2 linked regions of the Callithrix jacchus genome follow. The protein of the gene in region 1 interacts with the protein of each later gene in a pairwise test. Links are inferred from orthologs where the notes say so. Each region holds a gene or a part of one and is shown on either strand. Other genes may lie near its edges.

What was found.
Region 2: the proteins of HMBOX1 (region 1) and MFAP1 interact in binary tests that used the Homo sapiens proteins (3 or more experiments, as listed by UniProt). The two-hybrid records come from large-scale screens. The link is inferred for Callithrix jacchus from reciprocal best matches to the Homo sapiens genes HMBOX1 and MFAP1.

The regions. Positions count from the first base shown.
Region 1 is NC_133514.1:12,806,055-12,810,297, forward strand, and holds the start of HMBOX1 (homeobox-containing protein 1), read right to left. Parts: upstream 2,814-4,243; 5' UTR 2,531-2,813; exon of another isoform or gene 2,183-2,530; intron 1,759-2,182; exon of another isoform or gene 1,724-1,758; intron 1-1,723. Other genes in the region: INTS9 (integrator complex subunit 9), read left to right, coding at 3,321-3,329. UniProt on the Homo sapiens protein: Binds directly to 5'-TTAGGG-3' repeats in telomeric DNA. Associates with the telomerase complex at sites of active telomere processing and positively regulates telomere elongation.
Region 2 is NC_133509.1:31,484,488-31,488,700, reverse strand, and holds the start of MFAP1 (microfibrillar-associated protein 1), read left to right. Parts: upstream 1-1,411; 5' UTR 1,412-1,547; coding exon 1,548-1,626; intron 1,627-4,213. UniProt on the Homo sapiens protein: Involved in pre-mRNA splicing as a component of the spliceosome.

The sequences.
Region 1 (4,243 bases):
TGATCCTGCTGGTAGCCAGAAAAAAAGTTTAACGAATGCTTTTCCCAGTAAATAACTTTGCATTTCCATAGACAAAACAAAAGAAATTTTGAGGTAAGGATAGGTGGAATAGAAAACACTCATGTTTTTCCAATTCCAAATATTAACAAATATGTTGGTTTTTTATTTCTAAAATATTAAATATTTTTTTTTAATTTCGTGACTATTATAATGTTTCAGAAAAATAAAACAAAACACTCCGTTAAGTAGTTACATAGGATTTTTCTCCAGCTTTTGCAAAGTAATGTTTCAAGTTAAGATACAAGCTTAAAACAAATGATTCTGAAAATCCTGGTCTATCACAAACTAAAGGCTTAGTTTTGAATCAACATATGGTATATTCTACATCTGAGATTTAGAAACCATTTTTTTTCCTAGTCAGGTGAATTGAAATATACATGTTTCCCACTCTTACAGTCCCCCTTATCTGTGTGAATGACCAACAGCAAAACATTCAAATCAATGGTTATAAAATACACAGTCTATTTATGTGGTTTTCAGTTACCATAAAATCTAAAGATCCCTTACTAATGATAGGTGGCAGATTCAAGAATTGGTAAGTTTGGGGAATATATTCAATTCTTAACAGTCTAAATAGAAAATGATGCCAATTTCTTTATTTTAAAAATCTATTACACTAAAAAACCTGTCACATAAAAAGGGTTACTGAAGAACTTATAAGGAAGTACAAAATACGTGATCTTATATTCTGCTAGTATGTTATTAAAAACTGTGAGAAATAAGAGATGCGAGAATACTTTTTTTCACTCTAATTGAAATTTGAAAAAAATTTAGAATTCAAATTTCCCAACTTTGACTTAGAAACATAATTAAACTAGATCAAGCAACTTAGTTGTACAATTTTAAAGTAAGTTTTAATGCAAAGCACTGCAATCCTGATGTGATTAATTACCTGCGGCATAAATGCAAAATAACAAATGCATTTAATGATGCATTTTACGGTAAAACCACAAAAAGCACAACCACATTGGCAAACGAAATAAAAAGGCACAGGCGGTATTATGTTCATCAGAAAGAGAAACGTTGTACTAAGCCAAGAAAGAAAGGAAGGACTAAATGAAGGAAGAAAGGAAGGAAGGAAGGAGGGAGGGAGGGAGGGAAGGAAGGAAGGAGGGAGGGAGGGAGGGAAGGAAGGAAGGAAAGGGAAGGAAAAAATGAAGGAAGGAAGAGGGAAGCCTTCTACACCTGCAGGATCCCAGAGAAATGAACTAGTCATTTCATTCTATCCTATATGATACATGGGTGTTCTTGTTTTTCTTTTAAGCTTCAGCGTAAATAAAAACAGTAATGGCTTTATACCATTCAACTTTACATAGTGGTATCTTTAATGTCAACTGCATTCTTCCCTTCACTCACCCAATGCTTCTTCACTGTTCCATTCCACCAGCTTGCAGGCAAATGCATGACAGAACAGGGTGGAGTAGAAGAAAAATACAAGCAGCGCCTTTCAGCACACCCCCCCGCCCCGCAAATAATTTCCAACAGTTCTTCCTACTACAAAAATGAGTCGCCCTATCTCAAGATACACAACAGACATTCTGTTCCTTTAGTAGACAAACACAGACGCGTACACAACCCAGCACTCTCGACTCCCACCCCAGGCCCCCCGAATCTTCAACAATTATTCGTCTATTTCACACGAAGACAAGACACGTCTACCTACTGTTTCGGGGTGAAGGTGGGTGGAGGACGCCTTTCAAAGTAGCCCCAATAGTGTAACCAAAACACGGTTCCGGAATAAAATATTAAGAAACACTTTTCCTTTCCCACCTATCTACCGACTTGAGGATGCAAAAAATCCATCTCCACATCACACCATCGCTACAGTTCTCGTGGCTGGAGTTTGGGGTGGAGATTCGTCCAGGGAGGGGGCGGAGGCGGGTGGCGGAGTGTGAGCGGACGACGGGACACGAGCGAGTTGCTGAGCCCGGCTGCCCCGCACCACGTCGCCAGCCCAAACGCCCAGTACCAGGACCTCACGCCCGCCCCTTAGCCCAGGCCCAGAGCGAGCGAGTCCGCGCTGTCTAACTTCTCATCTACAGACACAGCTCTAAGACGAGGAGGGCACACAAGTACACGTCACACAGTTTAAAACACACTTACCCCAAACAAACCAACACACCTGCAAATCACCTCACAGTTTCCCGAACTCCACACCGGAGACCCCACCTCCAGGATTCAAACCTTCCGCTCATAGTGGAGGAAACCAGGAGGAAAGACTTGGGGGCAGTCGACGCCTTTCCAGGACCGGCCCCCACGAACTGCCCCACCCCACAGCCCGCGTCCGGGTCATCCACTCGGAAGCCCCCAGCTTCCTCCCTCCTCTCAATCCGGCCGCTTACGAGACCCATCCCCAGCGTCCGCTCACTTCCTCCCCAAAACCCCTTTAAAAAAAAAATTGTTTTAAGTGAAGAGAAAGAAGTGAAGAAAGAGACTTGAGGTAGTCCGGCTTCCAAACCGCTCGACTCACCTCAGAATCCTCGCTGAGTTCTCTCCGCCCGGCAAAGCCCCCTCCCCAACGTCCCAGTACGGAAGGCTGAGGTAGGGAGGAGGGAAAGCAGAAGGGGGAGGGGTGTCTTCCGCGTGGGGCGCCCGTCGGGAGGGGACTGGGGAGGGGTTGAGGCCGGCGCAGGAAGAGGAGAAGGGGGAGGGGAGGCCCCTATCTCCCAGTCTCCCCCTGAAAACCTTCCTTGTCTCAATCACATCAGACTGACTGTCTTTGTCTGGCTGACAACCGCCATATTGATATCAACAGCCCCGCTCCCACCTGCTGCCGCCGTGCGTTCCTGGGAGTTGTAGTTCCTGCCTCCCCTGAGTAAAACCCGGGAGCCTGGAGCCTAGAGGCCATAGAGAACTACAACTCCCGGCAAGTTCCGCGCTCATCCGCCTGCTCTTTGGGAGGAGAGGAAGGGGGGTCGGAGCCATCAGGACTACACATCCCAGAACACCATGGGCCCCAGGCCTGTACGGGGGACATGATATCATGCTGGGGTGGAGAGGGAGGATGCATTGGCGGCGGGGATGAATTTGAGCTGACGGAAGGAGGCGTTCGAGAGGAAGGAGAGAAAAAGGAAAGGCGACCACAGTTCCCATGATGCCTGGGAGAATACATTTCCCATGATTCCCCTGGAAAAGACGTGAGGATGAAAGACTGCAAGTCCCGCGATGCTCTCGGCGGGCAGGTGACGGAGATTGCACCGGAAGACGCTTCCGGGGTTTGAGGAGTTCGGTGACTGCTATTGAACCACCAAAAGTCCATTATGAAACTGGTGAGTCTTCGCTCCTAGGTTAGAGGACAAAGGTGATGCTATATCCTTTGGACCTCTTTTTTTCTACGTTGGGCAGGGAGCCGTCCCACAGGATGGGTGGCAATTAGGAAGCTGAAAAGTGGAGTGGGCTAAGGAAAGCTGCTTTTTGTTGTTGAGAAGGGTTGAATTCCCCCTCCCGTCCCCGCTATCTCCGCCAGGCGGTCTTTTTGCACTCATTGGTGGTTGCTTTTGTTCAGACAAGACGTTGGCTCTGTCACAGTGCTTTCCCGATGAACTCTGGGCTTGGTTAACCAGGTTTGGACTTCCTAGCTCCCACGTGTGTTGGCGTCCGGCACGTCTGCCGGGGGGCTACCGACCTGCGGGAGTCCCCGAGACCGCCAACGTAGATGTCTCGTTCAACCTGAGGGAGAGAGTGCGCGGAAGTGAAAGAAAAAAGAAAAGCGGAGTCTGGAGGGCTGGCTTAGGCTATGTCCAAGCAGCAATTTTATTTTTGCAATATGTTCCATTATATACTTTGTTGAAGTTAATGTTGTTTACGCCAGATCAACATACTTAAGTTACAGTAAGCAAGTTACGCCCAGTAAGTAAGTTAAGCCCAGTAAGTCAGTTACGCCCAGTAAGTTACGGTAAGTAAGTTACGCCCAGTAAGTACTTAACAATTGTAAATACTTAAGTTAAATCACAAGGTAAGTTACAGTTACGCCCAGTAAGTTATGGTAAGTTACCAAGTGTAAATACTTAAGTTAATATTTTACAATGAAGGTAACAAGGGTCCAAAATGAACACAATCAAGCAATAAACCATAAGGAGCCGAAAGTAGACACAGTGCCTCCCAAGTCCATATCCATAAAGTAATGTCTGTTAATTATTTTGAATAGCATAGTCCCTCTCTCGGTTCCTGCTTTCCCTCAGCT
Region 2 (4,213 bases), on another chromosome or scaffold:
CCTACTGTGAAATATGCCCTTTCCCTTTTTTTCTTTTTTTTCTTTTTTTACACAACCCAGCTGGTAAATTGGGGCTGCTTCTGTTATTATTCTACAAGTCCTTAAAGAGTTCTTAAATAGGCCGGCCGCGGTGGTTCACATCTGTAATCCCAGCACTTTGGGAGGCCGAGGCGGGCGGATCATCAGAGGTCAGGAGTTCAAAACCAGCCTGAGCAACATGGTGAAACTTCGCCTCTACTAAAAACACAAAAATTACCAGGTTGTGGGAGGCCGGAGTGGGTGGATCCCTTGACCCCAGCCAACTCGGTAAAACCGCCTCTACTAAAAATACAAAAATCAGCAGGGCGTGGTGGCGGGTGCTTGTAATCCCAGCTACTCAGAAGGCTGAGACACAAGAATTACTTGAACCCGAGAGGTGGAGACTGCAGTAAGCCGAGATCGCGCCACTGCACTCCAGCCTGGGTGACAGAACAAGACCCTGTCTCGGTGGGGCGCGGTGGCTCACGTCTATAATCCCAGCACTTTAGGAGGCCGAGGTGGGTGGATCACGAGGTCAAGCGATCGAGACCATCCTGGTCAACAAGGTGAAACCCTGTCTCTACTAAAAATACAAAAATTAGCTGGGCATGGTGGTGCGCGCCTGTAGTCCCAGCTACTCGGGAGGCTGAGGCAGGAGAATTGCTTGAACCCAGAAGGCAGAGGCTGGAGATCGTGCCATTGAACTCCAGTCTGGGTAACAGCGAAACTCTGCCTCAAAAAAAAAAAAACCCTGTCTCAAAATAATAATTACCTAGAAACTTAAATGCAAACACTTTCCAGCCAGGAATATATTTTAATAGGTAGTTTCCAACTACCAGTGGAAGAACCTGAAAGCCTAGAAGTGGAGTTTTGGGATTTCGGGCAGGCAATGTCTCAGGCACCTTGGGGGATTTTTTTTTTTTTTTTTTTTTTTTTGGTCACTGGATTAAATCAGCACCACCTGCCCTGTGTGACACCAAATACCGCACCACAGCTCACACTGGCCTCATCAACTGACCTAATCAGATACTATTACCAAGATTTTTACTCCATCTAACTCTACTTTTTCTGAGCTTTCAACAAGCCAAACGGCAACTCACTGGCGCCTCAGTTTCTTATTAATTATGCTGTTCTTGGCTTCTAACCAACCTAACACGTGGAACCTTTCATTAGAACCTTCCTCACCGCAGGGTCCGCCGGTCCTACCAGCAAAGCCCAAAAGAAGCAAAATTTCCCGCCAAAGGCGGTTTCCAATTTCTGCGACGTAGAGGACCCGAGGGCAGCCGAAGAGCAGGCGCAGAAACAGACGCAACTTCCTAGCTGTGGGCGCTCATAGGTCCTCCACCGTCCCACAATCCTCTCGTTACATATTTCCGGTTTATCTAGCCCAGCCGTAAGCGGTTTCGCTATCAGTCGAGCAGCTGTGTTCGTGAACGTAGGTGGAAGGGATCGCTTCTCTTCGTTGACGTTGTTGGTGTTCACTGTTTGGAATTAGTCAAGTTTCGGGAATCACCGTCGCTGCCATCAACATGTCGGTCCCAAGCGCTCTCATGAAGCAACCGCCCATTCAGTCTACGGCTGGGGCCGTCCCGGTTCGCAATGAGAAAGGTACGGTGCTGACAACCCTCTTCCCAGCCGAATTTTACTCTTTCGGCCCCAGCAACCTCCAGATCTCTCCCAGGTCTGGAGAGGTCTGTCTCTCCCAGACAGACCACTTCTATCCCGCCAGCTCTCAAGATTTGGCTCCCAAATTCTTCGACCTTTCCACCCCCACCCACTCGCATCCGATCTTCTTCCTGTGGCCTGCTCTCATATTCAGCAAGCACCCCTTAGCCTACACAAATTCCTTAGACTAATATGTACATTATATATATTACATATATAAAAGTACTTAATAGTTACTTAGGAATTTAACTATATATCAGAATATAGATGTCTAATATCCTGGAATATATGTATTAGTCTAATATTAGAATATAATATCACTACATATTACTAGAATATATGTATTAGTCTACTTAGGAACTTAAGTATATATATATTAATCTAATAATTAGGGACTTAAGTATATATCAGAATATAAATATATAATATCAGACTAGATAGATATGTAGGTAGGTAGATACATAGACAGAGAGAATGCCTATTTGCTGGGCATTGTGCGGGATATAGTCCCTCTTTTGCTGTCCATAGAAGACTGCTTATGCTGCCCAGATTGGACTCGACGTCCTGGACTCCGGCTGTCCTCCTGCCTCAGCCTCCCAGGTAGACACCACCGTGTCTAGCCTCAACATGGATTTTGGGAATTATCTTTGAATCCCTATAGATATTTATTCATCTGAACTGCTTATGAATTCCATTGTGTACACTGTAACCAGCCAGAGGCGGTGGCTCACGCCTGTAATCCCAGCACTTTGGGAGGCCAAGGCAGGTGGATCCCAAGGTCAAGAAATGGAGATTATCCTGGCCGACATGGTGAAACCCCGACTCTACTAAAAATACAGAAATTAGCTGGGCATGGTGGTGTGCACCTGTACAGTCCCAGCTACTTGGGACGCTGAGGCAGGAGAATTGCTTGGACCTGGGAGGCGGAGGTTGCAGTGAGCCGTGATCGCGCCACTTCACTCCAGCCTGGCAACAAAGCGAGACTCGGTCTCAAAAAAAATAAATTAATTAATTAAATAAACTGTAACCCACAGTTTATTCCCTCCTGAGGGGCAGGTAGTTGTCCCATTGCTGTTTTTTTCCCCCTGTTAAAAAAGTGCTGCGGCTGGGCACTGTGGCTCACACCTCTGAGGTGGCGGATCACCTGAGGCTAGGAGTTCCAGACCAGCCTAGCCAACGTGGCGAAACCCCATCTCTACTAAAATACAAAAAATTAGCAAGGCGTGGTGGCAGGCACCTGTAATCCAGCTACAAGTTCAAGTTCTGCAGTTGTTGTTCTTTAGCCAATTCAGCTTTAATACCTCTCCAAAGTGAGTTGTAAAAATGTAAGAATTTGGCCGGGCGTGGTGGCTCATGCCTGTAATCCCAGCACTTTGGGAGGCCAGGGTGGACGAATCATGAGGACAAGAGATCAAAACCATCCTGCTAACATGGTGAAACTCCCTTGAACCCGGGAGGCAGAGGTTGCAGTGAGCTGAGATCGCACCACTGCACTCCAGCCTGGCAACAGAGCAAGACTGTTTCAAAAAACAAAAACAAAAAAGAATATAAGAATTTGTGGAGCACATTGGCTCACACCTGTAATCCCTCACTTCAGCAAGCTGAGGCAGGAGGATCACTAGAGGCCAGGAGTTCAAGACCAGCTTGGGCAACATAGCAAGACTCTCATTTCTACAAAAAAATTTAAAATTAGCTGGATGTAGTGATGTGTTCCTGCTACTTTGGGGAAGCCAAAGCAGGAGAATCACTTAATGCCCGGAAGTTCAAAGCTGCAGTGAGCTATGATTGTGCCGTTATACTCCAGCCTGTGCAACACCTTGAGACCCTGTCTCTTCAAAACAAGGCCGGGCGCAGTGGCTCACGCCTGTAATCCCAGCACTTTGAGAGGCCGAGGCGGATGGATCACAAGGTCAAGAGATCGAGACCATCCTGGTCAACATGGTGAAACCCCGTCTCTACTAAAAAATACAAAAAAAATTAGCTGGGCATGGTCGCGTGTGCCTGTAATCCCAGCTACTCGGGAGTTTGAGGCAGGAGAATTGCCTGAACCCAGGAGGCGGAGGTTACGGTGAGCCGAGATCACGCCATTGCACTCCAGCCTGGGTAACAAAAGCAAAACTCTGTCTCAAAGGCTGGGTGTGGTGACTCGCAGCTGTAATCCAAGCACTTTGGGAGGATGAGGCGGAAGGATCACGAAGTCAGGAGTTCAAGAGTAGCCTGGCCAACATGGTGAAATCCCATCTCTGCTAAAAATACAAAAATTAGCTGGGTGTGGTGGCTAAACCTAGAGAGCGTATTAGACACATGAACAAGATGCCCAGCATCACTAGTAATCAGGGGAATGCAAATTAGAATAACAAGATGCCATTTCACACCTGTTCCACCTGTTAGATTGGGCAAAAATGTAAAAATCTGATACAACCAAGTGTGTAAATGATGAATATATGGGAAATAAAGCTCTGAGGTTCTCAAAGTTTTTTTGTTGTTTTTTTTTTACATGGAGTCTCACTCTGTGCAGAATTGCGATCTT